2 linked regions of the Drosophila melanogaster genome follow. The protein of the gene in region 2 purifies or fractionates together with the protein of the main gene of each other region. This does not show direct contact. Each region holds a gene or a part of one and is shown on either strand. Other genes may lie near its edges. The genes, in order: mim and Cortactin.

Region 1 (12,030 bases), on a different chromosome or scaffold from region 2:
CGACCGGGCGGCACTGGCCAAAGCGCGGCTCGGATCTTAAGTCGGCTTTTAAGGCCGTATCTCTTCAAGTCAGTTCTTTTTGGGCTGATTGCGAGGGAAGTTATTCGGATACAAGTGCTTGTTCGTCTCATTGTGCGTCTGTCTGTGCAACTCTGTTGCACTCAGAAAGCGTTCACAATAGACACTCAAGCGTGGAGGAAGCACAGTGATAAACAGACGCAACAACGAGAGCTGATTGCCCAGACTGCGTATCTTTCGTCTATGTCTGCGTGAAGACGCAGAAGAAAGCATCAAAGTGCTAGTTCGCCGGAAAAGAAGGAAAGCGAAAAAGTTTGCCGACTAAGAGATTACTAGTAGTGGAATAACTGCATTCGGAAAATGAGGAGAACAAACTTCTCTCTATATATGTATGTATGCAAACCTTCAACCACAAAGCGAAAACATAAGAAAAATCGTTGCAATCATAGATACGTCTATATTTGCATTTGCTAATTTAACTGAATACGTACTTAAAATCGAGCAATGATCGTAGTACAAAGTTTATTGAATGTAATAATCATTGATATGGAAATTAAAGTATCAAAATATACATGTTTAAGACAATCCAAAGGTCGATTGATCTGAATAGCGAATCTACATGGTTTAAATAGACAAATAAAATCGATTTATCTAGTCATCCTCCTAAAATTGTTACTTTGGTGTTCATTTAAGATAGATGCCCTATAAGAAAAGGGTATCAAGATGGTTCATACGAAACTTGCAGCAAAACAAACTGACGCACATTCTTACAAACATCGTGGAAGTACAAGTAGACTTTCTGCTGCCTCTCTTTTTGTTCGCTAGCTTCTTTTTAGCTGAATAGTGTAAATGACCTCTCGAGATAAAATTGTGGTTACAACGCAAACGATGACAGGCCGGCTTTGTTGTCGCTGTTGTTGGTGTTGTTGATGTTGTTGGTGTTGCTGGTGTTGTTGGGGCTGTTGGTATTGTTGGTGTTGCAGTTTCCTTTGCAGTGCGGAAATAACTTGTTGTTGTTTTCGGCAATTGAGTGCGTTAAATCTGGTTTAAGATGCATATATGTATATACACGAAACATTGACCCAGTTAACTGGCTGCATTTAAATCATAAGCCCAAACTGGTTGGACAAGTAGTGCATGCTTATATTGGGTCTACGAGACTTCTGCGGCGGAAATAGGAGCTTTTCTCAGCACAGCGATGAACTCGCGATTGTGGGCTTGGGAAATTCGCAGAGAGCATGGGCCATACAACCAGCCTAAGGTCAGGCCTGCAGATCGTGATGCGATCGGGAAATCTGTTTCGGCGGCAGTAGCCAAAGTCCAAATTGCCAAATCGTGAAGAAAAAAACAAAAACAAAAACAAAAGCAGGAAAACGACAATTTCGCAAAGTAGCCCCAGAAGAAGAGCAAAACCTTTTTCCAAGCCTCAAAACGGTGGAAAATGGGCCATATTGTGTAAGGGGCACGTTGTGGAAGGCAACCCGCATAAAAACTCGCTCAAATGTCAAGATGAGAATGATGACGCAGTGGCGTTGTTCCTGCGACTGATGATTATGCTGGATGCGTTTTAGTTTCAAATACGCATATTTTCCGCCCTATTTACTGCCGTTCTCTTTGCGGCTCTGTATCTGCGGTTTCTCCGAGATTTGTGTATTGAAACAAACGGAAGCTGCTTTGGTTGAAATGGGCAGGAAGTTGGAGGGCACCAGCCAGGGAATACTCATTTTCGTTTGCTTCACAGCAGAAGGTCAGACCATAATATTAATGTGTTTAATATCAAATCATAAAGAAACGAAAGATGGATGTATCTGTGGACATTTTGCCCAAAAATGACATAGCCACTATTTAGATAGGCTAAAAACAATAGCACTAAATAAATTAAATAAAAGTTACCAATTTTTTAAATTCATTAAGATTTATCATTGGCTTCCTTCATAAATATCTGGATGTAAGTATGGTAAACTTATAAAAAATTACATTTTATCGCTGTTTTATTGTCTTGGCCGCATCTGTACCCTGTCTGTATACCATTTATGTTGCATGTTGTCTGGATTTCTATTGCAAGAAGTGACTTGACTGACGGAAAGCAGAGAGGGGCAACTGTGGCACACACTTTTGTCAAGGGCGACAGACAGACAGAGTTGCTGCCGTTAATTGCTTACCAAAGATGTGAGCACACGCACCGCCATTTCTGTCCCATTTGAATTTCCCCCTTGCATACTGCGTTCTTAGGCGTAAATGCAGATGAGCAGCATTAGGGTGGACCAACAACGTGTTGCAGCAATAACATTGGAGACTAAACCAGAACTTGGGAGTCCCCTGACGCTGTTCCGCTGTTCAGCGCATAATGACACATTAATTCACTTTGAAACCACTTCCTCGGCTATTCTAAAAATAATTACTGATAGCTTATGCGTAAAGATTGCATAAACAATGAACCATACGAACGATTGTACTTTCTCGAGTTTTTCCAAGCTGAGCTGAAAGTTTCTCTAACACTCTAAGGAAATATCTCTCAGAATGGTCCATGTTGAATATGATAAATAATCAAGCAAAGAATCAAGGCCTGAAAATAGATCCAAAACTTACAATTCCCAGCCCACCACTTTAATGCACTGCCGGATACTTTCCTATCCACTCTGCCTATAAAGTTCTGTTTTTCTTGTGCCCCATAAGTTCTGGTTGGGATTTGGTAAAACAAATAATTTTACAGCTGCCTTTGGAGATTTGTATACTAGGAAAAGTGAAGTGCGGGTGTCGGCGAAAATCTCCAATGTCAGGCTGGCTTTTAGCGGATTTATGTGTTGTTTTATAAGTTGTAAGGTAAGCGATACATTGTGGCCGGCAAATTGTGCTGCAGCATCACCAGCGGACGGCCCGTCATGACTTTACACTTTCACCAACAACTACTACGGGTGGTATCAACAACTTGACACCAACAACTGCGGCCATCTGTGGTCAGCCAAGTGTCGAGATGCCTCGGCCTGATCTTAGTCTGGGGGCTTGGAGTTTGGGGTCTCTCGTCTTGAGTAGGGGGTCTGGTTCCTCTATTCCGGGGTTAGGAAAGCGCCGATCATCGAATGAAATGTGTCGAGTGGTCGCGCGATGAAAAGAAAAGCGAAAAGAACGCATAAAACGATGATAATCAAAAGATCAAGTTTTATATGAACAGAATCGACAACGTCACCAGCAGAAACTCAGAAACACACATCTGCTCAAACATTGATGTTTATCTATGGGTTTCTATCTTTAGCGTCATCTGTGCTTTGCACTGCATTTTCTATTTGATGTTTCTGGGATTTGTGTTTGTGAGGGCATCTGCTTTAGCTCTCTCTCCCCCCGAATGCCAACCCCCCCCCCCCCCTTCGACAACACCCACTGACGCGTATGGCACGTCATTAACCCAAATTTTCTATGAATAAAATATAGCGAAAAGGAAAACACTCAGTGTTTATGTTTGCAAGCATGCCTTGAGAAATCTCTGTCTATTTCACTCCAAAGGCTACTTTGATTCGAATCTAATTGAATAATTCGCGGGCTGCGCATTTAACACGCTGTAAAATAGGCCAATTCATCGATAATTGAAGCTGATAGGCATCCCACCTTCTTGATAGGCTCACCATCTAATCAGTAGCACTGTAAACACGCGTTTGTTTTGGCCACGAATGTGGAAATCGATGAGTATCGATCGGAAGTTATCAAGCGGCTGAAGCTGACCGAAGAAAATTAAATTCAGGAGAATGTGGAGCACAAAACTCATTTCGCAATGCAAACGCCCACAAATGTGTAAACACAACGGCCCGCCCGAAATAAACTTTCGGCATTTAGCGGCGTTTAATCGATTTGTGCATAAAATTATATGTTTACACATGGCAAGGCAGCCGAAACGAAAATAAAGTCGAGATACACAACATGACCCATTGGCGAAACATGGCGGTGGGTTGTTTCTTTTCCAGCGCATTTCCACTCGAAATTCAGCGGATTAGTCATTTTAATAAAAAACACAACCACGTCTTAGGTGTAGCCTACTTTATAGATTTTCTACATAATTTAATTCAATCGAGAAGATATTCAAGCAATTAAACACACTTCTCTATTTGATTTTCTTGTTATAAGTTTCATTTAAAGTGTGCAGGCACCTAATGTGTCAGCTATTTTATTATTTTAAATAAAAATTAAAATAGGAAGAGCTTATTAGTATATTTCTTCACACTGAGGTAAACCGATTCACTGTTCTCGACTTCATCTCAACTCATTAGAGAGCGGAAATTCTCGACAACTCAATGTTAAGGTGGGTAAATTTGCTTTTACTAATTTTAACAAAGGCCCGAGAACATTGTCTATTATTAACACCACAACCACTCCCGCTCTCCTGCCGGTTTTCTGGGCGTTTTGGCCATGGCCAATGGTTATTAATGATTAACCGGAGTGCCGTTAGCCGGCACATGTTACTCCGTACTTTGTCATGTTTGTTATGTTCTTGTTTGCTGGTTCCATCAGCACGTTTTGTTTCTGCCTTCCTCATGACAGCTTTGTGGCCATCAGCAATGGGGATTTCTCTGCCTTTCTCCGGCCTTTCCAGTCTCGTTAGCGTGAAAAGCTTTGCCCAGCTTTTGTTTTTCTTGCATAAGAAAATGCCAGTTGCTCAGGCATCTTGGTTTTGCTAATTTCCCAGCCCCGCCATAACTCGCGGAAAAGAAACGAGAATTGAAGGAAATACGTTTTAGTGTCGCTTCTCACTTCTCGCAGAACCCTGAACCCTTGACATTTTCACCCAGGGCGGCGATAAAGTTTTATACTTTTTAATGAGCTCCACGTTCTCTGCCAGCGCAATTCAGCCGCACGCAGCCCACCCCAAGTGAAAACCGCTTGAGGCGAAGGCGAATCTCGGGTTGGATTAGACACGATTTTCATTAGGACGAACCCCGAAAATCGAAAGTGGTTACGAAAGATTCCACTCGAGTGGGCGATCCAGCAGTCTAGAGTCGCGGACTCATTCGAACTCAGATTCATTCAAACAACAAGGAACGCCCATGCAGTTCACCAATCAAACGAAAACGAAAATCTTTTTGTGAGTGGGCAGCGAGAAACTCGAATTGCAGCAGCGCAGCGACATGCTAAACAAATGCAGACATTCAGGCTAAGTGACTTAAAAGTTTTACAAGTTTTCAGCCGTTTTTTCTTGTTTACCAATTGAAAACAGTTGCCGCATTATAATGTAAAGAGGACGTAACAGCGGTTCCGAAAGGCGAGTATTAAAGATATATGAATAATGTACCAATTATTTTACATTTAGTGGGAAAAACTATTAGCGCCTTTAGAACTGAAGTGATCCAGCTAAAATACTGAATGGGGGTTTTGTGTTTACAGTAGGCTAAAGAACATTCAAAATATTACGAGTATTAATTTTTCGAAAACCATCAATGAGAAAACATATTTGCACAACAAACAGTTAACGTTTTTCCTTTGTTTTGGCCTTGCTCTCGTGCTTGTGAAAGAATGTTGTTGTTTCTATGCAACGGAGGTGGAGGTGGGGGTTGGTCAGTTGGAGCGGCCTTTCTCCATAGGACACAATATTTTTTTATATTCACTGGTATTTGTTTTTCTGCTTTTGTGAATTTCTGTTTGCATTTTGTTAAGGCGCAAGTGCCTGGTTTCTGTTTATATAAGCGTAGTAAGATCACCGAAAAAAGTTGCTCGTTTTCAAATTATAATATTTCACTTATTTTTATATTTTTATCATTTTAGTAAGAAGGAACATTAATTTCCTTCTCTTAGTATATCAAAATGTATGATTTTCCAATTTAGGTAAAACATTTAGGTTTCCTCCAAACGATCACGTTCGAAATACAGGTTTTTTCTCTCGGTGCAGGAGCAAGTTTCTTGCCAATGGCCGACAGCTGTTTGTGGCTAATTTTATCTTTCTTTCTGAGACCCTCTGTTGTTTTGGATTCTCTCGTTTTTGGCAATTGCACAGGTGCGGCAGTTGGATGGTTTGCGGATTGGGTTACTCCACGCGAATCAGATAGCCCAAGGCATCCTTTCGAATTTGAGTACTACTTTGTGTCTAAGCAGCGTATAGTATATACGATATAGCGACTTGGCGAATGCACCGGCCGACATTTCAGGCCAAACGGTCTCCGTTGCTGGAAAGTTCTGCATCATTTGTTTAGACAAATGCGCGAGAAAACATTCCCGGGACGTAAACAAACCCCGGCAATAATATTTTAATAATTACGCTTATCTGCTCCATTTGACGGCGCGCACAAAAGTCGTTTGAAAGGTATGCAAAGAGAACGAGACGTGCGATAAGGGAGCCGGGAATGGGAACTCAACTTTCGAGCATTTAGTCCGCACCATGGGTGTCAACGTGCCGCTCCGGTTCCTGTTGCGATTACGGGTTGAAAGGAACACAAAGCCGCCACCTCGCGAAAAAACGACCCATTCGGAGTCGGACAAAAAATTAGCTTGTTCAGATAAACCGAGTTCAGGTAACACAGTCCAAAGAGAAGTCCCTGCACTTGCGCAATTACCGCGCAACTTCAAAAGGGGAGTTGTGCACAGAGAAAACTTTATGGCAGTCGAAAAATCGGAAAATCTGACTTCGCACAAATTTTGTGGACCGAAAACACTTCACAGCACTTCATTGGCACAATTTGTCAAAAATCACTAAATGTATATTGTTTGACTTCAAGAGGTTTAATAATTCACTAATTTATCTTACAAAAAGAATTAGTTACATGAAATTGGTTGTTGATTTTGTTATAGAAATTATTATTATTATTATGTTGCTGGCCATCAAAGATATGTTTTCTTCAAAACAAAATTACAAATATATAAAACCTAAACATTTTTTATGAAACTCCTTTTTTTTAACGTGTATAACAAATCCTGTTTGGATTGGCCGTGAACGGAGTTTTCGGTTCTCACGACCGCCTGGAATGGTCACTGGAAGTCCTTGGACCTGGAATCGGTCCAAACTTGTTGTTGGTGAACTGCAGCTTCCATTCCCTCCCCTTACTCCATCCCCCTAGCCAACGCTCTTCGCCCCTCTCCCAACCCCAGTAATTGGCATTATTAGCCCACACTCGATTCTTTTTGTTGTTCTTGAAGGATACTTACGGTGCACTTCCGACTGTAAAATATCGCAGGGCGACTTTATGCAGCTTGCTTGATTTTTCGGCCGACGATGTTGCAGACAATTAGGCGATGATGTTGATGCTTGCACTTCTGCGGTCACGGTGTTGTTGTTGTTCTAGCATTGCATTTCCAGGCGGCAAAAGCGCACACAAAGGATAGAAGCGGTTGTGAGTGCGAGCGGGGTGTATTCTCCCGTTATTCCCCTCTATTTCCTCTCTCTCCTTCTTACGCCCAGTTTCGTGTGCTTTGCTTTTGCATTTGCTTTTCTTTGCTTTGTTCAAACTCAAACAAACTACCCCAGAACCGTTGATCCTGACTGCCTTGTTGTTGCTGCTGCTGCTGTTGTTGTTGTTGTTTTGTTTTCTGTTATGTTATACACTCACAGACACACGTACACACACGCACACAGTGGGCTGGCAGACAGACGCTTAATTTTCCGTTTTCCTCGGGAAATCGCAAACAATTATTCGCTTATTTTTGCACCGAATCTGACACTTATATGCTCGCACTTCGAACTGCACTTCCAATTGGTTCGCGCATTCCTTTTCCGGTTAGAAAACAGTTAGAAGTTTGCCGCTGCAACCGCTATTTTCGCCAAGTCTACGACTGACTTTCCGAGCGCATTTTCGTTTTCCTCCGGTGCGAAAGGGCTTTCCTATAGACAAACAAAAAACCGTAAAACAACCGCGACCGATTCGTTCGAGAGTCGAGTGTCTGGGTCAGTGTGACCATCGCTCGAAGCTGGGAAAATACACCTCTGTAGTGTGACCACGTCTAGGAAAAATCACTTGGCAGCGAGGTCACATTCGCTGTTAACCGTTCTGCGAATCGGGAATGTTACCTATCATGCAAACTTTTAAAATTGAAAATATGGTTATTTTTGGCGCGTTCGATGTTCCAGTTGACATAAAAGTCAATTGAATAAAAAACCAAAAATTTTGTTATAAAAATTTGAAGAGAATAACTCATGTTTTAGAGTAGAGTTCCTAGGAAACGGAAGTGCCGAAGACATTAACTAAGCACTCGGGCTAAATGAGTGTTAATTTGGAAAACCATGAATTCTATAGATTGAAAACAAATTATATAAATTTAACGTCGTTTACTTTAAATAATGGCCTCTGCATTTGCTGCAAATTCACCTTTTATGCATAGAATTCTTTTTAAGAGTCCTATTTTCCGATGGTATGAAAGTGTTCGATATAACAACTAAATTATTTATTTGTTCACGTTGTTGAGCTTGGTGCAAAAGATTATAAAAGTCATCGTCAGCATTATCACACAAGTCCACAGCTTAGGAAAATCAACGAAAAAGGTGCATATACAAATATAAAAACAACTTAAACGCTTTGTAAAGCAAACAATACAAAATATGCGATGCTCCAGCAGAGCCTCCTTTAAAGCTTGTCCACCCGTTCCACACTGAGTTTGATGTCCGACTTGGGCATCAAGAGCAGTCTCCGGTTGTCGTACTCCACGGGAATCGAGGTCTCCGCAGAGGGAGCGTATCTGTGCTGCCTCAGCAGAGCCACCAGGCCCACCAGAAGCTGCTGCTCTGCAAAGCGAGCGGCAATGCATCCTCGCAGGCCATCGCCGAAAGGCAGGAACGCAGCTGCCGGGCGGGATCGCCTTGCCTGTTCCTCAAAGCGCTCCGGGTAGAACCGCTGGGGGTTTTCATAAATGCCAGGATCCATGTGTATCGCCGCCGTTGGTATCAGCACATTGTTGCCTTTGGCAATTACAAACACCGATCCGGGCACTTCGAATTCTTTGGTAGCCCGGCGTAGCAGGAAGGGATGTGGAGTGTGCAGGCGAAGCGTTTCTAAAAAAAAGGTGAAGTCATTGGAGCTATAAAGAGCTTTTCAATATTTGGTACTCACCATTGAGGACTTGCTTCGTATACCTGAGCTCCCTTAGGCACTCCGGTGTCACTTGGCCACCATGCTCCTCCAGTGCCTTGTTAATCTCGAGCCTGGTTCGATCTTGCACCTCAGGCTGGCGGGCCAACTCGTAGAGGCAGAATGCTAGGGTGGCATTCAGGGGGCCCAAGCCAGCCAGAACGAAGCCGAAGGCTTGGCCCGCAATCTCGATGTCGGTGAGCGGCTTTTCTGCGTTGGAATATAGCTGCAGAAAGGTCTGGAGTGGCTGGCGATCCCTTCTTCGATGCAACTGCAACTGCGACAGGGCCACTTTTTGGAAGTAAGCTGTAGCAGGTTCTGCGTAGCTTTTGTACTGAAGAAGGCGAGCGATGAGCGGAAACTCAAGCGCCAGATAAGCCTGCCACATCCTAAAGTCCGCCCAGTAGTTGCGCGTCCACTTAGCGAACTCCACGTTATCCTGCCCTACTAGTCCAAAGGCCATTGACGCCATAACGTCCGTATTGTATGCACCCACGAGTTCGCTTATATTGATAGTTTGAAGGCTCTTTTCGCCCAGGTCCCTTTGAATTCTGGAGGAGATTTGCGACAGTCTGACCAGCAGCTTCTGCATGTTGGCCGGAGTGAAAACCTCTGCAGATTTGGCGTGCAGTGACCGCCACTTGTGACCGTCCAGCTGAAGGAGATTATGCGACAGCGGCTCTCCACTGGGATTACTATAAAGGCCTCGGGACGTAAAGTGTCCCGCGTCGGTGAAGATTATTTGGTGGACTAGCTTCAGGTCCAGCGCCAAGATGAACGGCTTGAGGCAGGCGTAGAATCCCACAAACGGCGCCCTGCCCTTGTATGCGGTGTAGATATCCTGCAAGGCGTCCTGGGCATGCCTCTTCCCGCTCACCACGCCCTTAATGTTGCCCCACAGGAACTTGGGCTTTTCGTGCAGGATCCCCCGCCGTTTCCAGTAGCCCAGACTGAACTTGACCAGGGCGTAGACCACTGACAGCGCACCCAGGGCGGTGAGCAGGGTGCGGTGCATTAGATCCATGCTCACTCAGCTGTCTTTTCCGGCTTTTACAATATGTTCGCGCTGTTTGATATGCTTAACAGCTGGCAGTAGCTGCTTGTCGAGGTTCTGGGGCTCAATGCCGCCGGTTTATCAGCGCCATTATCGTGCGGTCCGATTTAATAATTGATAAGGTCCATTGAGTATCGGCCGCTAAAATGGAAGAGAAACGTGGCTATAAGGCAACTTTCAGTAAGTAATAGTAATCAAGAGCTGAGCGGGATTTATTGCTAAAATAGGTACGGAGAGTTGCGACTACGGCTGCAAGATGAGGCAGAGGTTGTACGTGCTGCCGGCGAACTCGTCAACGGGCACCCAACGAACGTAGCCCAGATCGATTAAGTGCTGCCGGGAGCTGGGCACGCCTACGAAATGCGGATCCTAAAAAGGGAAGCGAGCGATTAGTTCACCAGTTCATAAAATGAGCTAATTCGCTGACTCACCACCACCTGCAGGAAGATGCGACCGCGTGCACTGCAATGGTAGCCGGTAATAGCCTTGGAGGCGGTGTCACTCAGACCGCCCATGGCGACGAAGCCTTGGTACTTCTCAAAATAGCTCCGAAGCTCGCCGAGGATCTCGTCCGAGCTAAGCTCCTTGGCGTGAAGAATCTTGCACGGCACCTGGTGCAGCACATCGATCACGTAGAACTCCTCGAGCGTTCCGATCCAGTCGCGCGAGCCCACGAACTCTGGACCCTTGTCGCCGATGGCCACCAGGATCTGCTGAATCTCCCGGATGGAAGGAACATGACCGCTCGACCCCTGTCGACGTTGGATCCAGGAAATGGCCGATTGCAGGGTGCGGTAGCCACAACCCCAGCCAGCATCCTGGTGGCCATCGCATCCGTAGTGGAAGTAGTTAAAGCCACCGCGGGTAACTAGCGTCCGCCCGCCTTCAGTGGGCGTGGTCAGCGCGCCTTGCGGATCCTCTAGAAGTGGATATGCATAGTCCTTTGGTACAATTTTCAAGGACGCCGCGGAGGAGTCCCCAAACTCTTCTGCACACTTTTCCGCCGCCATAGGAATTGTTTTCGAAACTGAGTAATTTGATAGCCTAGGCCTGATTCACCTGCTCCTTTTCTTTTTTGTTTATTTACCTTGGGCAGCCGTAATTTGTTTTGTGAAAGTGAAATCGCAGCAAAGAAATTGGAATGTTTTTTTTTTTGCTCTGGCTAGAGATGGTACAAGCTGAATCGTCATGCACCAATGACAAAGTCAGCCAAAATAAAATAACAATAATGCGGAAAATAAAATTAACGAATATAAGAATGAGTCATGATGAAAGGCTATTCCGCCCAAAATTTTGATAAAATTTATATTTTTATATTAAGCAATGTTGTCATAATTGTTTTACTACAATTATCCATCACCAACTCTCTCATCGAATTATCGATAACAGCCCGTTTGTAGCGCCTAAATTTAAACGCATCTATTTGGTTTTCTCTTATTTCTCATGCATTTCAAATTTTATTTGAATTATTAAATGTACATTATTGTGTTTAGAGTTCATAAATATGTTTTCGCATTTATGTGTGTGGGTGTCTCAACGCTTTATATATTAACACCATTCCCCTTGAATTGTGTTCGTTTAATTTTTAGTTTTTGGTGACCAAACATTAGTACATCGTTTTTAATAATTGGTAAAATTTGTAGCACTCCATAAACTACGATTTGTAAAATTGAAATATTTGCATTATTGGTTTTCAACTATTTTCGGATTGCTGATTGTTACTGAGTTGCAGTTTTGTTAATGTTTTAAAGTTAGCTTAAAAATGCATTTTGGATAACTTCGCCGAGTTTTACAATAAATATATGGGATGCCGTTTGCAATATGTGTCTGTGCACCAATTAAAATACCTTAATTACGTCGTGCGTCTAAATGTTTTGTTATCTTCTCGTTTTTGGTTTGTGCCAGCAACGGTTTAAAAGAGGT
Region 2 (12,210 bases):
TTTTGCAAATGCACTGAGCAATTCACTTAGTAATAAACCTTGATGACACACCTATTCTACTATAATTGCACGGCCTCGAGTACACTACTACTATATTTTGTGGACGGTGGAATGTGGCCACATCCGATTCCGGTGAGTAATGCTGAGCAAGGCACAGGCGCTCATACACAGTGCTTACTGTAGTTTGAAGTGCCTGTCGGGCAATTGAAGTTGATTGAATTACTAAATTAAGCAGGGCACTGGGGGATAGAGATATTTCGAAAAATTCCGCTTCTCATTCCTACGTAAAATGGGAAAGCAAGAAAGGAACAGAAAAGTTTACTTAGATTTCGTCGGAGATGAGAAAAGTCACACGCGTCGCGAGAGAAAACGCCAAAAGAGTGGGGCTTTTGCTTTTGAGTTTGATGATGTCATCTTTCGGTTTTGAATTTTTCTCCCACCCGAGGCTTTTATTATTGAAATATAAAGTAAATAGAGAAACAAGATTCTGGAGAATTCTCGCGATACCGCACCCACAACTAGAATTCTACAAAATGCCCATTTTGGAATGGCACAAATGAAAATTATCTTTGAGTGTTTAGCACACACTTTCTTTTCTCACTTTTCCGACTGATTTTCCGCTTGATTTTTTGCGATTTCTGGCACAGCGAGAGTAAACAATGAGTTTTATCTACAAATTCCTTTTGATTTACCAATGATATTCGATTTTCAACGTACAAGTCAGACGATGCGAACTGCAAGCGATGTGAATAAATACCATAGCTGTTTGCGCTCCGTCTTTGGCTTTTATACTCGCGCTCTCTCGCTGGAAGTCGATTAGAGATGAACCAACCGGCGATAGGTTGTTGTTGCTAGGAAATATTCGGTGGTAGCGCCTAACTGGAAGCTGGTATCTTCTGCGTCGTCATAGTATACACCGTAGAATCTAAAGTGTTCCGAGATGGATGAATCATCGGCATTGGAAGCTGTTGAGACATTCATGATATTTCCGTTGTGATAATGACGACATTGGGAAAATAAGATCTGATTACGCATTGAATTTCAAAATGTAACCTTTGACTTCAATATTCAGCCGTTAGGGCAATACAGTTAAATAAATATCCTGTTCCTTCCTAAGCCGTTTTATAACTATTTTTATTTGTATTTTTATAACTATATATAAAAACCAATTACGTTAATTGTCAGCCGACATCGAAGCAAATTCAAATCCAAAACTATCGATATATCGATGATATGTTTGCGGTTATATGAAAAAAGTCAACTCTTATACCTGTTAATTACCGTTCTGGCAGAATCTTATTAATTATACAAATTACTATGGCGCCACTTGGTATAACATCAAATACCTTTTGCCCGAGCACTCAGTTCTATTGATCACGATCACATATATTGGTACTGCAGTATATATCGGTGCATTGACTTATCGAATAAAGTAAAAGAACCACGACTGTATCTCTTAATCATTTAAATTGGGCGCCCCTAAAACTGCAGCAACTACCTTTTGTCAAGCTCATCACAATAATTTATCGGCTTTTCGTAGCATATCGATGCATCCATTGTATCGAATGAAATTTAGTTCAGTTAGTTTCCCGTTTGTTGGTCTCTTTATGAATCAATTGTTTAACCCTTCTCCTCCCAGAAATTTGCAGACATCCCTAGCGGCATCAGATCATAAGTTCCTCTTGCAGTAGGAGTTAGTCATCGGGATGTGAGTATACATATGAACATAGAGCGCCAGTGGCATCTTGTTCCCGATCCGGCTTTGTCGGCCCCTCCCTTCTTCGGTGTTTTGTGACTTGTTATCTGGGCCACGAATCGGAAGCGGAGCCCCTGCAACTGAAAACCTGCCCCGACTACTCACACTCGTCATGGTGTTTATCTATCTACCCAGCAGATAAGGATAAGCGAGTAACCAGCGACCAGAAACCGGTAAAAAGAATGTGGAAGGCAAGTGCCGGTCACCAGATTCAGGCCACCAGTGCAGCCTCCGCGGAGGACGACGACTGGGAGACGGATCCGGACTTCGTGAACGATGTCAGTGAGCAGGAGCAGCGCTGGGGATCAAAGACGATCGACGGCAGCGGTCGCACAGCAGGCACCATCGAGTGAGTCATCCGAAATTCTCGAAACACTGGGTATCGGGTTCATTGTTCCCTTTCTTTATTCTTTTTAGCATGGACAAGCTGCGCGAGGAGACGGAGCAGGCCGATCTGGACAAGAAGAAGCAGCTGCTGAAGGATCAGAACGCAGGATACGGATACGGGGGCAAGTTTGGCGTTGAGAAGGACCGCATGGACAAGTCGGCTGTGGGTCATGACTACCAGGGCAAGGTGGGAAAGCACGCCTCGCAGAAGGACTACAGCGATGGTTTTGGGGGAAAGTTCGGAGTGCAAGAGGATCGCAAGGACAAGTCTGCCGTGGGCTGGGACCACGTCGAAAAGGTCGAGAAGCACGCCTCCCAGAAGGATTACGCCACCGGCTTCGGAGGCAAATTTGGAGTGCAGTCCGATCGGGTGGATAAATCCGCCGTGGGCTGGGATCACATCGAGAAGGTGGAGAAGCACGAGTCTCAGAAGGGTAAGTTACCTAACGGAAATGAATTTCTCATTGATTTTTTCTTAGTATGTTCATGTCTGATTATTTTATTTATATCTTCTCCCAACATAAGATTACTCCAAGGGCTTTGGCGGCAAGTTTGGCGTTCAGGAGGACCGAAAGGACAAGTCCGCGGTGGGATGGGACCACAAAGAGGCTCCGCAGAAGCACGCCAGCCAGGTGGACCACAAGGTCAAGCCAGTCATCGAAGGTGCCAAGCCTTCCAATTTGCGTGCCAAGTTCGAGAATCTGGCTAAAAACTCCGAGGAGGAGTCACGTAAGCGGGCCGAGGAACAGAAACGTCTCCGTGAGGCCAAGGACAAGCGGGATCGGGAGGAAGCCGCCAAGAAGACTGTGGCCGAGAACACTCCTCGTACCTCGACGGAAGCACCGCCTCCAAAGGGCAGCAGGGCGGCCATCCAGACAGGTCGGACCGGTGGCATTGGCAATGCTATCAGTGCATTTAACCAGATGCAGTCGCCTGTTTCTGAAACCCCTCCAGCACGAAAGGAACCCATTATCATTCCCAAGGCGCAGCCTGTTAAAATAGAATTAGAAGCAAAGGAGGAGCCAACGGCAAGTACAACATCAGCTGCGGTTGCTCCTACTCCGACAGTGGTCCCCGCTCGAGAGCCGGAAACAGCTCCAGTGGCCAAGGCTGCAGCTCCACCACCAGATGTGGTGCCCCAAATTGAGGTTGAGACCGTGGACACGCCTCCCAGAAGTGAGCCGCAATCACCAGTGTATGTGCCGACGCCTCAACCCGAAGTCCACGCCCAAGTCCAAGTCCAACCTGAGCCGCAACCTCAAGCCGATCCTGAGCCAGTAGTTGAAGAAGAGCCACTGTACCAGAACCAGGCCGAGATTAAGGCTGCCTCGCCCTTGCCACCAACGAATGGAACCGTTTCAGAGGCTGTTGCTCCGAGTGGCACCGCAACCGTTCCCGAGGAGGCAATCTACGCGAACTCAGACAATTTGGCCGACTATCTGGAGGACACCGGAATCCACGCCATTGCCCTGTACGACTACCAGGCGGCGGATGACGACGAGATATCCTTTGATCCAGATGACGTGATCACCCACATCGAGAAGATCGACGATGGGTGGTGGAGGGGATTGTGCAAGAACCGCTACGGACTCTTTCCAGCCAACTACGTGCAGGTGGTGGGACAGAACTCATAAAAGCTTCCAATTGAAATTCACGATAGAACAAAATCAAATTGTATTTACATACTAACGAAAACGATAATACTGATGTTGGATTATAAACCATATAAACCAATTCGCAACTAACCCAGCCCATTTCCCATCCATTGTTTACCCTCTTAACCCTCCAAATTATGTGCAACGAATGGCTAGATATTGAATTATTATTGTAATTTGTTATGCTAGCACTTAAAGTAACCGTGGTATTCCATTTTTGATATATGTATCATTTATTGCATTTTACATTCTTTGTATTTAACACATTTATTTTACCAAGAAAATATGCCAAGCTATTTTAGATATCTCTCATTTCATATTTTATGCATTAGTTATGATATTTGTGTCAAGTAACGATTTTGGTTTTTTTGAATTGTATAAAGTCTACGAGAGTTTCCCGTGTCAGGTGATCTGATCTAATGTTAAAGACGGATCTAATGTTGAAGACAGTCACAAACAAAAAGTCTGCTCTTTTGATAAAGAAATACATAATTAATAAAGTTAAATAATAACGAGTTCTCTCTTAAATTGTGGTACTGATAGTTCGGGTGTTTTTGTTTTTTTTTAAGGCCTAACAAATCATTTTACTAAGTAAAATGATTTCATTGGATACGGGAATTCACAAATTTCTATAAGAAGATAAGAACGAGCATATTGTTGGGTTCCTTCTAATATCACGAGGATATCTCTATTTTGGGGTAGAACTGTCAAGGCCTTTCTTGGATGGGCCGAATTCTTATCTGCCTGTTCCGAACGCATCGTAATCTGGCAAAGTAGAAATTGTTACATGAAACGAGCTACTGACATGATTCATGGTGCAAATGTGAGTGCATATGGGCTCAACAAAGAAAGAGTACTTTGCATTGTGGTGATTAATTAGTTAAAAAACATACATAAGTAGGATGTACGGCCATATTGTAAATTTGAGCGCCAATCCCAAAAAGACTTGATAAGATTTATCGCAATTATTGGCGACGGATCGTAATCGAAAAAAGTGTCAGACGAAATCAAAGTTTTGACTGATAAAGTTGATGTATAAATTAAACTTCAAGGAGGTATTACGATAAAGTGTGCGTGTTGGTAATAACGTAGATATTATTAACTAGTGATTGTAACTCAAAGGGTATGCAACTTAACTATGTATCCCGCATAACATTTCTAACGGTAACCTGCGGTCGATGTACAAACCGGTATTTCAAATGCATGTTCAAATCTTAGGCGGTATTTCTGGGGCCTTCAAAAATCCAAATCTCAGGCCTTATCAAAAAATCTCCCCTCAAAAAAAAGCAGTGGTCTTTCTCCCACGCACACACTCTCTCTCTCTCTCTTTCTGTCTTTCTTTTTCTCACTTGCCGACGCGAGAGAGAGATATTTTGAATAAATAGGGGCTACCGCAAAATGCTATAGTCAGTCACTCGATCGCGTGGGCTCAGAGTTAAAACTTCAGTTTGGCCGATAAGGTTAGTACTCTTGTCGAGTGTTGCCAGATTTCGGCAAGTCAAAGAAGAGAGAGTGGCCGCAGGTTGCCACATTGGGCACAGACGAAAAGACAGTGTGCATGTGAGAGGCGAGTGAGTGTGCGTGCAAAAGAAAGCAGCTGGTGGCAGAATCTCAAATATTGTGAGGAAAATTAATAAACAAAGAGCTGCGCTCACGGCTGAGCACAAATTGCCTGCACGCTCGTCAATTGTCGTTAACTAAGTCAGCAATTGGCAGCCAAACCGTCCGCTTCTTCGTCATTTCTCTGCTTCGTTTACTGCGACCATCACCACTCTTGTTTCGGCCGTACAACGTCACGGAATTCGTAAATTTCGTAAATTGCTCCGCGAGAAAAGCAGGAAAATGCATTTATAAGCTGCCACAAGTGCCGAGATTGTGATATAATAAAGGCGAGGGCTCCAATTAGTTAACCCCCAGTTGCAAGTAAGCCATTAACTGGTAGGAAGTGCTGTTTAACCTGAGTTGCCCAATAATTTACATCTCCATCAATATTTCGTGTGTGTGTGTGAGTGCGCACGCAGGTGTGCGCTAATAACAAAAACAACGTGGTGCACCCTCTCTCCGTCCGCTCTCCCTCTAACCGGCAAAGAGAGTAATGTATAATTCTTAACCGTAAATAACCGTAAACAGAAAACAATTGTTGACAAGCTATTCGCACTTTAAAATCCCCTAACAATGGATAGTTTTCCAGACACAATTCACTACTTTTATTGCCAGCGAGAACTGTCATAGAAATAACTATTTTAGGCAGCGGAAATCGTATAATTACTGTTTTAGTTTTTTTTTTTTTAACAAGCGACTTAACAATGTGGGCTGATAAGTATTGCTCTTCTATTTTCAAATTACTGTTATCTGCATTTGTCAATTTTTTGTTGTCAAGTGTTTTGTTTCGCCTGCTTCAATATACAATATAAATTGCTTTTGCCCGCTGACTGCGCAAAATGGTACGCAGTTTAAAATATATATTTTCTCTAAATAAACTCATGATATTTTTTGGTGCCACTTAATTTGGACTCTTAATGGAAATGGTTCGTTTTTTTTTTTTTTGATTACCAATTGTCATAATTTACAGCGTCCAACTGGGCACTAAAGTGGCAAAGGAACACGTACATAAATATGTGGCTGATTATACACTTATCGGCTAGAATTCCGCTTTTGGGGGCGTGGGTATTGCCATACAACTGGGTAAACAGAGCAGTCTGCGCCACACAATATAACACAAAAGTGTTCCAATGAACTAAACACCCTCCTCCGACATTTCGTTGTTACACATTTCCTTCGAGCCACTGCAGCGCGATTTAAGCTCCATTAATGGCGGCTTGATATGGCCAACTCGGTTACTTATAGTATATGCCAAATGTACCCGTCCAAGTGCCACATATAATGTGAAGTAGACATTGCACGATGCTCTCGAGCTCTTTGTCTTTGCTTGCTCCGATTCAATCATCAATGAAGCGATGTGGAAAGCCTTATAGCAGATATGTAGCATCAGTGGGGCAGTCGCGTTTGTCAAGGTGAGCCACTTGGCTCTACATTCAATGTATTGCGTTGAAGAGCAGCCAAGACTGCTCAGGCATCTTGTATACGAAATGCACTTGTAATCGCTTTTACCAAATAAACAGTCCAAAATTTCACATCGATACACGGGTCAATGGACTCGTGTTTATGTTCAAGTAGTCTTGTTTTCGACCATCCATATCTATACGACTGCAAATGCGAAATATCTGCAAGTTCTCTGGGTAAATTGGGCAGAGGCATTTCAATTACTGGACTTCATGAATCACTGAGCTCGTTTTATTTCCTTATATACCCGCATAATATAAGCAAATTTCAGTAATATTATGGACGCGTTATCAGTTACCCCCGAGCTAATGCCTCTCGAACTATTTATTGTTTTCATATTTTGCCACGCGCGTTTCGGAAAAAATAAAACGTGTTACTGTGACTTTGCTCTTGATTATGGTGAAATCCCCAAATAAAACTATATGGTGCAAAAAACTTAATTATAGCGCAAAATTATTTTGTTTGTTGTGTGCAATATGATAATGCTAATTGAGCTAGAATCACACACAGATGCTCAATTAAATGAAAATGGTGGGAATCATAAGCTGATGCCAGGTGAAACAATCAAATAGAAAATACAAATTAGAGTAGTCGACAATGGGCAGTGGACGGGAATATAGCAGCATGTGGAAACTCGAATTAGGTCCAGTCTAACCTCGCCTCTTCTGTGCAGCATGTCTTCGAATGAGGCCTACCACGAGCCGGGTGCCGGTGGAGATGGACCGGGCGGATCGTCTGGCGCATCCGGCGGAGGAAGTCAGCGGAGCAACCAGCTGCACCACCAGCAGATACTCAACGAGACGACCTACCTGAAACCCGCCGCCAAGCAGGCCTACTTTAGCGACGAGAAGGTCCTCATACCCGACGATGATAGCACAAACGTAAGACCCGCTTGAATAGCAATGCTACTCAAACTTTATCTAATATCTGGTGATCTGCAGGTGGGTTTCAGCTTTCGCAAGCTGTGGGCCTTCACGGGACCCGGTTTTCTTATGTCCATTGCGTATCTGGACCCCGGCAACATCGAATCCGATATGCAGTCTGGTGCGGCGGCCAAGTACAAGATCTTGTGGGTCTTGCTGTGGGCCACAGTCCTAGGTCTGCTCATGCAACGCTTGGCTGCAAGGTAATTGGGTCTCCACACCTTGCAAAAAAGATGATGATATAAGCGTTTATTATCTTCCTGGCAGACTGGGCGTGGTTACAGGCCTGCATCTGGCCGAGATGTGCTACAGACAGTACAAGCGTCTGCCACGTTGGATACTGTGGATAATGATAGAGATAGCCATTATTGGATCCGACATGCAGGAGGTCATTGGCACGGCCATTGCCATATACCTGCTGTCCAACAAAGTGTAAGCAAATCTAATGAGCGGATTATCGCAGTACCCAGTACTCATGCATGCGGTGCTTTCCCCATTTTGTAGAGTGCCTTTGTGGGGCGGAGTGTTGATCACCATTGTTGACACGTTCACGTTCCTGTTTCTGGACAAGTACGGTCTACGCAAGCTGGAGTTCCTATTCGGCACCCTCATCACCATTATGGCTGTCTCATTCGGCTATGAGGTAAGTTTAAAATGCAAAGTTGAAAAAAATAACTTAACTATAAAAAGTAATCGCCAAAATCAGCAAAAAATCCCCTTGCCAAATGACAATAAAGTAGTCAAGAGAATAAATTACCAGACGTGAGTGCAAATACGAATTGTTTAAACAATTGCAACGACCGCAATGGCAAATAATTTGTGAGATGCCTGTTTAGGTTTATTTTAATGATCGCTAGTAGTAAATTTACATTTGACTTGTCGATTTCTGGATGAAGTTAGCCCGTTAACTAGCCCCATATTCTTACTCTTAAGTTTACGACCGCATCATGTTAACGGGCCAGATTATAAACAATTGTACTTGAGCTTTCTGCCCCAGACGGAGATGATTAGATAAGCTTCACTCGCACACTAAATGGGGTTCTGAGCGTGGGTGCTGGATACTTCATCTTTTGTTTGCCAGGCACATGATGCTGCCGGACATGACTAACAATTCCAGATGGGATGTGTAATGCCAGTCTTATCAATTAGATTATACAATGCAGAATTGTACAATTACCGATGGTGGTTTTTGGAGATAATTACAATGGAAAAAAGTGGGGGTGCCTCGAGGGGATTTTTCTACGAGTAACAAGTATTTTGTTATTTCTAACCAAATCTCAATATAAGCTAGGAACAATTTGTTTTCTCCCCATAATCATTTTTTAAATGGTTTTAAGTCATAATTAATTTATTTTTCATATCTTTCAGTACATTGTATCAGCCCCTAATCAAGGAGAAGTTCTCGAGGGAATGTTTGTGCCCTGGTGCTCTAACTGCAATTCGAATGTGTTGCTGCAGGCCGTGGGTGTCGTGGGTGCTGTTATTATGCCGCACAATCTCTACCTGCATTCCGCCTTGGTTAAGGTATAGCACAACTAGCTTTTTGTGACTTCGTAATTAGATACCAATACATAACAATTTTCTGTTAACAGTCCCGCGATATAGACCGTCGCCAGACAAAGAAAGTTAGTGAGGCGAATTTTTACTTCTTCATCGAGGCGTCGGTAGCCTTGTTTGTGTCCTTCATCATTAACCTGTTTGTGGTGGCTGTGTTTGCCCATGGCATGTATGGCAAAACTAATAATGATGTGGTAAGTAGACTTTTGAATTTATGTGTAAAATGATTGCTAACTCTTTGTGGGCCAATAGGTTGAAGTGTGTAAAGACAAGTCGATGTACGAAGATGCCAAAATGTCTTTTGTGGACAATGTAAATGGAACCGCGATCATCGATGCAGATCTATACAAGGGCGGACTTTTCCTTGGCTGCACATTTGGAGCTGTCGCCATGTACATTTGGGGTGTGGGCATTCTAGCTGCTGGCCAGAGTTCCACCATGACGGGCACCTATGCCGGTCAGTTCTCAATGGAAGGCTTCTTGAATCTGCAGTGGCCGCGCTGGTGTCGCGTGCTGGTCACGCGCTGCATTGCCATTATTCCCACCTTCTGCCTGGCCATGTTCAGCAAGATGGAAGATTTGACTAGCATGAACGATATCCTGAATGCGGTGATGTCGCTCCAGCTGCCATTCGCTGCCATACCCACCATCGCCTTCACCTCGTGCGCCGCCATAATGGGCGAGTTTGTTAATGGACTGTAAGTGATACAGACACTTTTAATTGATTATCGTGCATTCTTTAAATTTTTGTATTCACAGGGGCAACAAAATCGTATCCATACTGCTCACCATTGTAGTGATTGGCGTTAATTTGTACTTTGTGGTGGTGCAAGTAGAGAATATGGAAATTAAAGGCGGCTTGCTGGCACTAGTCTGTGAGTAGTCAATTGCCACAATTTAAACCGAATCTAATGTATTTTTCCTTTTGCCAATTGCAGGTATTTTTGCCATTTTGTATATACTGTTCAACCTCTACCTTGTGATACACATGGCTGCCTGCATGGGCAATCAGCGTTTGATGAACAGCCGGGTAAGTACTTGGCCGCAACTAGTTGGGTCACTTATCAAATGGGCTTAGAGAATCACAAATTAGGCGAACTTTTTGACACATTTTAAAGCATCACAGATACCGCACTGAACGGACTGACTTTATCAAATTACGTGACTGACCACATATGGTTCTTGGGGGCTTTGAGGGCTTATGCCTACTTCATCAACTGGTACTCAAGGTATTCTCTGTTTACAGTGGGTGCAGCGTTTTGTGTTGCCAAGCCAGAACAGCTTTTCGATAAAGAACGCCAACTCGACGTACGCCAGGTATGTTCCCGATTTTTGATTCCAACCATTCAACCATATAACCATCCAGAACACACTCGAATGCACAAACTCTCTCGATTTGCATCTTCTTCCTTAAAAGCATTCTCTGCTAACCCATTGCTTGTGATTAAGTTTTTTCCCGCTCTGCTTTCAACCAAATCGGCCTAACTTCCTAATGATTCTAATCTTATCTCATCTGTACTTACTTTCTATTTACTAATCTACATTTGGTTATCATCTCTGAACTAAAACTAAACCCTCAACCCGTATTTTGCTGTGCTCTCTTCTTTCGATTTTTCACAGTGATGTAACCTTAGTTGTAGGCGATTCAGCTACTAACACGGTGAAAGGTCTTGATACCGTCTCGGAGAAAGTGCCTAACTGAATCATCCCGGTGACTCAATCAGGCCACACTCCCCCACACACCCTTGTGATATTAACACTAAATCACACGCTTAACACTACTAACACGTACCTAGTAGGGCTCTACGCAACCCTTAGCATTTGTAAGGCATGTCTTTAGGGGAACTACGATTGTACATAAAAAGCATTTACCCATCAACGATGGGGTCCTATAGATTATAAGCTTGACTGTGGTAAGTCTTCTATGATTGCTTTATCGAGCTATGGGTATTATGTACTCATAAAGCTTTGGCGCTTAGCATGTTAAATAAAGTTGCAGTTATCACTAAGTATTACTCGAGAAGTCTTTCAATTTATTGGTAATTGGTATTTGACCATAAGTGCGAATATAAGCCATTTTACGATTGGAATTTGATTGCACAAGGATTGTACAAGGAATTAGAACGAAATAAGGAAACAATTAGTAACTAAATGTTATATTTGCTTAAGTATTAAAATATATTAGATTATTTTAAGTATATTTTTCGTAATGGACATAAAGCACATTGGGCGTGGCTCATTTATCACCCTAATACCACTAAAATAACTAGAAATCCAAATAAATGTGGGTAATTTTCGAATAATTTTGTATCACAACATATTTCTTTTATTATATGTACTTGGAAACCCTGCACTCTCTCTGTATGTGTCTGTGTGTTTCACCACTGTCCCTCTCACTATCTTATACACCATACACCCTACTCTTATACTCGGTGTGTCTACAACACGACTGGATTGATTGATGTTTTCCGTTTCCCATTCATTTGTGGTTAATTGAAATGTGCCAAACAATTGTACAAAACAAAAACTACAACAAAATCCACCAACTATTTCAATTGACAAACACAAAAACAAATTTAAACACGAACCCACTTTAAACACGCACACATGCAACGACCACAAAAATGTGTTTTATTTCTGTGAGGAAATGGATTTTTTGGCATTGATACAAACCAATTGAAATTACTTTTTGAAACTTTTGATTGAAATTTTTCAAAATTCCCAAAGAATTGCGCATAATATGCAAAATTTCAATGCAACATAAGCCAAGGCAAAACCAAATCGAAGCCAATTGAACTGGGTAAATCGAAATTGATCAAATGTAGAACGCGTGCCATGACCGTTGAAATAACTAAAAGGGTACCCAAAT

The links.
Region 1: the proteins of Cortactin (region 2) and mim purify together in Drosophila melanogaster (affinity purification with western blotting, with the first as the bait; one study listed by BioGRID). This does not show direct contact.

What each region holds. Positions count from the first base shown.
Region 1 is NT_033778.4:6,963,753-6,975,782, forward strand, and holds the start of mim (missing-in-metastasis), read right to left. Parts: upstream 7,886-12,030; 5' UTR 7,141-7,885; intron 1-7,140. Other genes in the region: Cyp6u1 (cytochrome P450 6u1), read right to left, coding at 8,553-8,977, 9,036-10,077; Ufsp1 (UFM1 specific peptidase 1), read right to left, coding at 10,351-10,476, 10,539-11,117.
Region 2 is NT_033777.3:21,053,793-21,066,002, reverse strand, and holds Cortactin (cortactin), read left to right. Parts: upstream 1-1,531; 5' UTR 1,532-1,580; exon of another isoform or gene 1,581-1,639; 5' UTR 1,640-1,708; intron 1,709-1,891; exon of another isoform or gene 1,892-1,894; 5' UTR 1,895-1,938; coding exon 1,939-2,105; intron 2,106-2,173; coding exon 2,174-2,577; intron 2,578-2,668; coding exon 2,669-3,777; 3' UTR 3,778-4,323; downstream 4,324-12,210. Other genes in the region: Mvl (malvolio), read left to right, coding at 7,536-7,742, 7,803-7,987, 8,052-8,216, 8,289-8,427, 9,153-9,308, 9,377-9,535, 9,594-10,039, 10,101-10,216 and 2 more.